Oryzias latipes: one gene and its partner. The protein of the gene in region 2 purifies or fractionates together with the protein of the main gene of each other region. This does not show direct contact. Links are inferred from orthologs where the notes say so. Each region holds a gene or a part of one and is shown on either strand. Other genes may lie near its edges.

Region 1 (4,144 bases), on a different chromosome or scaffold from region 2:
ACGGAGTCAGGCTGAAACTCCCATTTGGTCTCAGATGTTGGAGCCAAGCACCTTTTTCTCCTTACTTCAAACCACGAAACAAACGCTCAAGTGTGACCAAGATGCATCTGGGCTGGAAGGGTATGCAGGTTACACTGACCCCCCCCCAAACTCCCTGTTAATCTAATCTTTGCTCCACAAAGAGATTCAGCTTTAGGAGCTGCCTGTGAGGGTCAGATGACTCATGTTTCTATGATCAGCCTGCATGACTATAAAGAGAGCAAACGGAGCCGTTCATGTTCTGCTGAAGAATGAGGCGCTCTGTGCAGCTTTCCAACACAATCCCATGTTCTCTGAAAGGAACAGATTGGATTCTTATCAGGCAATCGCTGCTTTTAAATGCAAAAACCAAACCACTGTACAAAGTTCAGGCCTGGAGAAAAGAACTCAGGTTTTTCTGTTTCAGTTGCCCCGCTCTGGAAAACCCAAAGGAATGGAAGACCTGCAGAAAGGCAAAATGGAATCATCTGAGGGCATGTCCTCACAAGCCAGCCAGCCTCCGTCTTCAGCCTGTCTTCTCTCCTTCCCGAACAAAAACATTTCAACCTCTGCAGTCCAAACCAGCCGTCTCCGATGGCTTTGGTCACAACAAAAGCTAACTGGTAAAACCTGTGTTCCCACACGTGAAAGAGCGCGTCACACTGCAGCTTTGACCACATCCACACGGTTCTGCATGCTTCCACGTCTGCGCTGCAGCAACACGCCGACATTGGGGACACGCCACACAGAGAGGGAAAAATGCTGCACTATTAGGTCTAATCAATCATTACTCAAACAGCCAATACATACATAAAAAAGCATCATGTCAAATTTTGTTATCACAGCAACAACTGGCTTCCACAGTGAACTTATCTGAGGCTAATAAAGAAACAGGAAAACATGGACCTTTTCTGGGGCATTTAGCTGGTTTGTGTTTTACCTCCATGTAAAACTGAGCTGAAGAAGCAAAATAATTATGTTTTAATGTTTTAAAAAACATAGAAAAGCTTATAACTGAAGGTGTCAGGAGTTTTCATGATACCTTGAGCTGTAATTGTTTCTATTCTCCACAGAAAAGTCCCAAATATCTATATAGTGATTGTAAAATGCAGAATTTGCTAAACATAAAAACGCAAATGTGCTTCCACGATCAGTCTCTGAAAGCCTCTCACAGCCGTCATGATAGGGTTAAAGAAGAACATTTAAGCTGCAGAAATCCCATTAGTATTGATTCAACAAAGCAAAAATGCCAGCAGACCTATTGCAGGTTTGACGCTTTAAATGGGACTGAATAACTCACCTCTCGAGCGATACTACTCAGAGCTTCTTCCTCTGCTGAGAAGCGGTCTTTCAGAGGGGCGCGTTTCCTCCCAGGGCCTTGTGTCCCCATGATGTTCCTCAAGCTTCAACAAATATGTGTAAGGCTGGAAAAGAGACCAGGCTGTGTGTCATTATCCTATACTGAATATACTTCACGATGAATGCAGACAGGGAATTAAAAACTCATTCAACAGGTTGGATAGGATGCCTAAACATTAGAGTATGCTTTACGCACAGGCGAGGGAACCATAGAAAGATGTGCTTTTGCTTTAAACACCTCATTTAATATCATTTTGATCCCCATTTTCCCATGAGTCAGCAAAGAAAGCAACCGGTGAGCTGACACGGCGTCATTCCCTGCAGGAACATGACGGTCCCTGGAGTGTGGAGCCCATCGGAGTCTGATAAGCAGCTGTGGCTGACATGAAGCAGCCTTGGAGGAACACCAGGAGCTGCTGAAGCTCAGAACATCAAACTAAAGCTGGGCTTTGTTCATTAAGACCCGTCACGCCTGAAATGATCAGCAGGTATTTCAGCAGAGCTCGTGATGAAATGTGTTTTAGACGACTTCAAATAAACAGCTGAAGACATCATGGGGGGGGGGGGGGGGGGGGGTAGAGTCACCCGGATGAGTCAAAAATCTGAGCTTTAATACATCATGCAGATGTGTGATGTAAACCCTGTGAAAATGGTTTCAAGTGAGCGATCCAAACCTAAGAAAAGCAGAATTTCTGTCCCAACTGTTGAACCAAACTAGTGGGTCTATGGAAGCGACACACACAGCGGGGAGGCGCACACCTCCTCACACACTCCAACAAAGCTGCCTCTATACCCTCATGTTTAAATCACAAGGACAATACTGAATTAAAAAAACTGTACTTCCATCTACGTCACAGAGTAAAAAAAACCCCGCACCGTGGCTTGTGTTTTCTGGCTACATTTAGCTGCCTTCACAGTTACTGTGAAGAGCCAGCTACTTGCTAAGCTAACTCGCTAGCTAGCACTTCTTATTATGGAATTCCGATTCAAAAGTTTATCCGTTTAACGTACCGGGACTAAATTCTACCGCGTTCTAGTATAGAAACTGTGTCTAGACGTTCCCTGCGGTCATGAATGTCACCGACACTGACCGATAGCTTTAACCGTAAAGCCTAGTTTGACCGTTCATGTCTGCTGTGTGTGAGCTAGCATAGCTAGCCAGGCTAACCTCCACTCTCCTGACAGACAAGGCAACTGGGACTGAGCCCGCCGTCCAGTTTTCCACCCCAAACGTTACCTTTACGTTAAAGATGACCGGTACAGCCCAACTGTCGTCCACCGGTGGTTCAGAGGAAACCCATTTGCCGAGTCTTCGTGCGCTAGCGGTATTTTTCGTCCACATTGACAGCTGTCATCAGTCCGCCTTTCTTTCCAGCGCTCGCGGCTGCCCTCCTTACCCACTCCACACGCTCCTTCGGTCGGGAAGTCCCGGATGTTGGAAAAAAAATTAGGGTGTGTTGCTGTGTTCACGGACCATCCGGAATTTCGATGCACAGTCCTTTGATCAATTTAATGAGAAAACGAACCAGAGCAGCAACTTTTCTCTGTACTTTTTAGGGAAAAGTCGATTTTAAAACCATAATCTTTTTAACAGAACTTTTGATGCTAATGTGTTTTATCATCGGCGTTTTACTTATTAAAGAAATGACATTTTAATGAAGTATACGGGTCTACAAATACCCAACATCACAAACAACTACCCAATACATTTTTCTTAAGGATTATAACTAATTATATTATAATTTCTATTTTCTGCGTTTCCAGAATTCACTGTGGACAAACATTTTCTAATGTAACTGCCTTTCTGACATTGTTTATAAATGGCTTTGTTGTTATAAATGTGGTGTAATAATTTTAGCCTTTGTTTGGCTGATTTTATTTTTTTTCTTTTCAATTTCATAAAACAAGAAAAACAAAATAATTTTCACAAGACCTTCAAAAAGAGAAAGGAAAATGAACAGAAAGAACAAAACTTTTTTTTTGCCCCTTTTTTTATTCTTTGGACAAAGCAAACACATTTGAAAGTTGACAGTATTTTTGAAGCATGCTCTTTTAACAAGTTATTTAAAGGTGATTTGTGATTTGGTTTCTTTAACCGATTCCTCTCCACTGTTTCATATCATGTCTCCTTAAATTGAAACACTTCGTTCTTGTGATTTTGTGGTGCGGCAGACAATTGCTTCATTCATGAATTCTTAAATACTTTGATCAACTAAACCTTTAAATTTCAGTCATTTTCAATTTACTGGAAACAAAAATACAGCAAAGTCCAATTCCTGATTCATGTGTTTACGTACGTTCTGATGTGTTAAATTCTAACATATAAGATGGATCATTCTGTAAAAAACCAAACGTATCAACCTCGCGCTGAGGCAGGCTCCAGGAAAATATTAAAAGGTGAGAAACTCAGATGTGAGTCTGCAGGACTTAACTATAGGATTTAAACGTTTTCTAAATGCAATCCTATGGTTCCTTTTATGTTATGTAGTATGTCTCATATAAGTATTTCTGAATAAATACAGCTATTTATTCAGAATGGTAAACTTAATGAAAAGTATGTATAAACAATGTAACATGGGTTCTCTGTTAATATATATACAAATGACATTTTTCTAACCTCTGGACCAATTTTTGTTTGTTTTCATGATTCCATCCCTGCAGTTTTTTTCTTCAGGGGGATTTCTGAACATGAATTTACTCAAAGATTTCAAAAAAGAGCATTTTTGCAGTGAAACTGTCCTTTGAAGGCTTTTGTAGTCTGCTCGCC
Region 2 (4,339 bases):
ACAAGTTCATATTTTTGTGACACAATTCATAGACAAAGTAATTCAAATATCTTTACTGAAAAATACAAATTAAAACAACAACAAAACGTAATCACTAAGAGTAAAATCACAAATTACAATTTAAAACCACTTTGAGACAAATATATAATGTGCCGGTTATACAGCTGTCATACACTAAACTACAATGATTTTAGAAAGAAGTTGTTATCAGTAGCAATTCTAATGGGAACTTCTAATATGGGTTGACATTAAGTACCTGTTGGGGCAGCTAGAAGGGCTTCTTTGTCATGTTTATGTATTTTAAAGCCTTGAAGCCCTTCAACACAACAGTTGCTTATTTATTACAACAGAGATCGTCTGTGTCTGTGGGCTTTGACGCTCTGCTAGGGAGCTAGTTGCGGGCCATTTCTTAATAATTACGGCATTTAGTTGCAGTCAGTTGCCTCAAGTCCCACTCCAATCTTCTTGTGATCTATTTTTCCCAGTCGTCTTACAATTATGATAATCACGGACAAGGAAAAGATGGATCTCTTTGTCTACAAGTGGATACAACAGAATGGAGCAGAGCAGGGAGCTTGTGGCCCACCCTGCATATTTTTTGTACGTCACAAATACAATCTTCAAATGCCATTTTTTCGTCTGCTCCTAATTCATGACGATGTGAATAAAGAAATACTCAGAAATGCAGTTTTGATACTAATTTTCTTAATATGTCCTCATCCTTTATGAAAAATGGCCACAGGAACATGTTAAAAACACAATTTTCATTGGAGTCAGTCTTTAAGTCTTTAAGATTGTACGCTGGGGTGTTGTTGGGGTGTGACAACTGTCCCACCGTGTCCAGACTCACTGCTATGTGGATGAAGCATCCAGTGAATTTACATCAACAACATATAGTTCTAAACATTCTCAATAAAAGCACTTTATCGAAATGTGAATCCCTCAGAAGTAAATTAATAAATATATGGTGTAAATTTACTCTTAAAATGCAGATTAGAGTCATTAGATGACAAATTAAAGCTCAGATTTCACACAATGTAAATTTCATTTCTATGATCATCAGCTATATGCAGCGAACCGTGTAAAGAAAACACTTTTTTTATATTGACAGAAAGTCCACTGCCAGCTGCACACATGTGAGAGGCTTGAACAGGTCAGAAAAAAAACTTCAGAGGAGCATCAAAAGCCTTTTGAATCTTCTTACCAACTTTTGGAGAGAAGCCAGCTCCTCTGGAAGATAACAAAGTCCTGTCCGGTTCAGTTTCAGCCATCGTAAGCTGCTCATACACTTTACATGCTCAGGAAAATAACCCCCCTGTGGAGATAGGCAAAGAAACTTGTTTGCCAACACAACAAAATCATTCCAGATTTACACACATCTGATAACTCCATTGAGACGGACGGACGGACAGATGGATAGATAAAAATTGGCAGTGTTTTCACAGAAGCTGCATGACACATGCTGACATCTGGATTTCCTAACATTACAGACAGACAAATGCCTTGAATTTAACAAATTAACACAATAAAAAGTTAGCGGTTGGATGGTTCGGTTGGCTGCGCGTAGGACTGGCGCATGGGAAACCAGGGATCGCGATGAGTTTCATCCAGTGTGGGTCCTTGGACAAGACCCTTAACGCGGCTCCTTAACTATGCAGCCACAAAGGGGCCCAAGTCTGGGTCTCCCTGTGCCAGTCCATAGCCCGGTTAAAATAGAGGGTTCTGTCAGGAAGGGAATAAATGAAAGCGGAATTTCTTTGGCGAGTCCTGCAGGGATATGCCGAAAGGTAAATAAAAACAACACATCAAAAAGATTATTCGCCAGCAAATTCGGACGTGTTCCAATACTCCTTTAGAATCTGGTGAGTCAGGCTCAAAAAAAAGTTAGCATGATGTCAAACTTTTATTATTATCCAACTGAGTTAAATAAAAATGGAAATATTAAGTCTTCCTTGTGACAACAGTAAACGCCTGCCATTTCAGTATTTCTTTTTAAGTCCAGGATCACTGATTGACAGCAACAACTTGAGTTTACACTGTTGACAACAGTGTTGCAATCCCATAATAATCAACCTAAACGGGGCTTGGATACAAACTTAACCTGCTGTGAGTGTGACGGGTCTAAAGTTCGGTGAGGTGATCAATTCCCCTGTGTTTAAATTAACTTAAACTAACTCGATGAAAACCAGAACTTACTAACTAAAGCCATGTCAACACCGGGTTAACAAAACAACCCAACAAGCGCCAACATTCACCTTTAACAAAAGATTCTAAATTAATCCCAAACATTTGAACAATTTAGATCAAAAGTGAATGTCTTAAGCAATAATACACTTAGCCAAAAGTACGCTAACTAAACAAGCAGAGTAGTAGTGATATGTATGATGATGAGTGGCAAGTGCTGTAGCCCTACCCTAGCAACTCAAAACTGTTTTCCTGTAGAGTTACGGCTCTTATTTTATTGTTTAAACAAACATACCTGCCTTAAATACAATTCCGCATACTGCTCAAAGGGTGGTGTCTGACACACACGGGAGTGTTTTTTCTAACAAGAGGCTAACGCCCAACCAATGTTCGCAATCATGTTAAGCTATGCTAGTGTCTTAGCTACTTTCCCTGCTATAGTATAGGTGAACAATTCTCATACAGGAACTAGCTTAGCCTAGGATTCATTTAATATGACTAAAATTAGAGTTATAAATAATGCGAGTGTAGTTTTAAAGAATCTTACTTTGAAGTCATTTCCACTGAGGTCTACTCCCCTTATGAAGGGAAGAACTCCGGTGGCAGCCATTTCTGACTCGCTGATGTCAACTGCTCAAACCTCTACTATTTTGGGTCGGGAGGGAGAGACTGTAGATTTGTTACCGCCCCCTTCTGGCTCGAGAGGAAATGCATTTTGTTTATTTGGAGAGCTCCCCTTTCCCCGTTGTCGTTATAAGGTCACACTTGATTGCAGCCACAAAGTTGTACGCAGAAAGATCACAGCCATAGAAAATAAGTCATAAATAAATAATAATTACTGCTGCCGCGGGTCATAATAATAATAATAAAATAAAGGGCCAAGGAGCATAAATCTGACTTAAATCTTTTAGAATTCTGACTTTTTTCTCAGAATTCCTAGATCAAAGTCAGAATTCTGACCACCAGACCATCAGAATTCTGTGATTAAATTCAAAATTCTAAGATTAAAGTCCGATTTGTTTCGGCCCTTTATTCCTGATTCTCCAAATCATCTTCCTTAAACATGACAATAATAGCTTAACATATGGTAAAACAAACAAACAAATAAATAAAGTGAATGCAGCTAGAAAGAACAAATGCAACAAATAGTGGTAACACAAAGTAAACCCAAATTTAGTACTGCAGAGCTTTTTTAAGGTTACATCTTGTAAAATTTAATCTTTAATAACATTTTAAAAACTGTTCCAATTTAAAAGGAAAATAAAATTAAATCAAGCAAATAGTCGAGAAAAGCTAAAGAACATATTGTTATGGTAATCATTAGTGTCATACTAACAAGAAAATATCACTACACGTATACATTCCCCACATATCTAAATTCACAGAATTTGGAAATTCTGTTGACATTTCCCATACGTTTTCACACATTTGTATTTTGATATATTTTAATGATTTTATACACATTTCCAGTTTAACAAAAAAAACATTTGAAAATGAAGTTTCTTTTCAGCACTCTTCTTTTCCATAGTAAAAAATTGTTAAGCAGAGGACTAAATCACAACAGAGATCTTATGTATTTGGCAGAAGGATTCCAAATGTCACATAATCTCTGGAAATAGAATCCAGGAACAGAATTTTTGGTTTTATCCAGTGTTGCAGGTAGCCACCAAAGTCATAAATGGCTACATATATATACTGAAGCTACTAAACTAGCAAAGTAAAGCAGATAAATGAAAAATAAGTACATGATTATTCCCACAGTAAAACTAAGTATGAGTTAAATATTGTAATATTATAAAATTCTCGTTTTTTAGTCTGAGAAATATTAATACAGTGCCATGTTTTGTCCTCTGTGGTTACCTTTGTTCTCATGTTTTTTTTATCATTAAGTCATTTCTAAACTTTGTATCGATTATATTTATTTTTATTTCAACATTTTTGCCTTATTTCTAGGAGCTTCATTTAGTCACAAATATCTTGAGGAAATCTTTTTAAAAAATTGAGACATCATGAATGTATGAAAGCTTGAGGTATTAACCCTTGTGCTATCCTAGTCACTTTAACCTTTGGAGTTGGGTCATCTAGACCCACTAGACAGGGCGCTGAACCTATTTTCTTCAATGATTTGTGATCTTCACTGGTGTTCATGGATTAC

What was found.
Region 1: the proteins of flii (region 2) and lrrfip2 purify together in Homo sapiens (affinity purification with mass spectrometry; 3 studies listed by BioGRID and IntAct, with this or other methods). This does not show direct contact. The link is inferred for Oryzias latipes from reciprocal best matches to the Homo sapiens genes FLII and LRRFIP2.

Annotation. Positions count from the first base shown.
Region 1 is NC_019873.2:29,719,854-29,723,997, reverse strand, and holds the start of lrrfip2 (leucine-rich repeat flightless-interacting protein 2), read right to left. Parts: upstream 2,818-4,144; 5' UTR 2,615-2,817; intron 1,443-2,614; 5' UTR 1,409-1,442; coding exon 1,319-1,408; intron 1-1,318. UniProt on the Homo sapiens protein: May function as activator of the canonical Wnt signaling pathway, in association with DVL3, upstream of CTNNB1/beta-catenin.
Region 2 is NC_019866.2:18,081,491-18,085,829, forward strand, and holds the start of flii (protein flightless-1 homolog), read right to left. Parts: upstream 2,840-4,339; 5' UTR 2,795-2,839; coding exon 2,732-2,794; intron 1,316-2,731; coding exon 1,205-1,315; intron 1-1,204. UniProt on the Homo sapiens protein: Is a regulator of actin polymerization, required for proper myofibril organization and regulation of the length of sarcomeric thin filaments. It also plays a role in the assembly of cardiomyocyte cell adhesion complexes.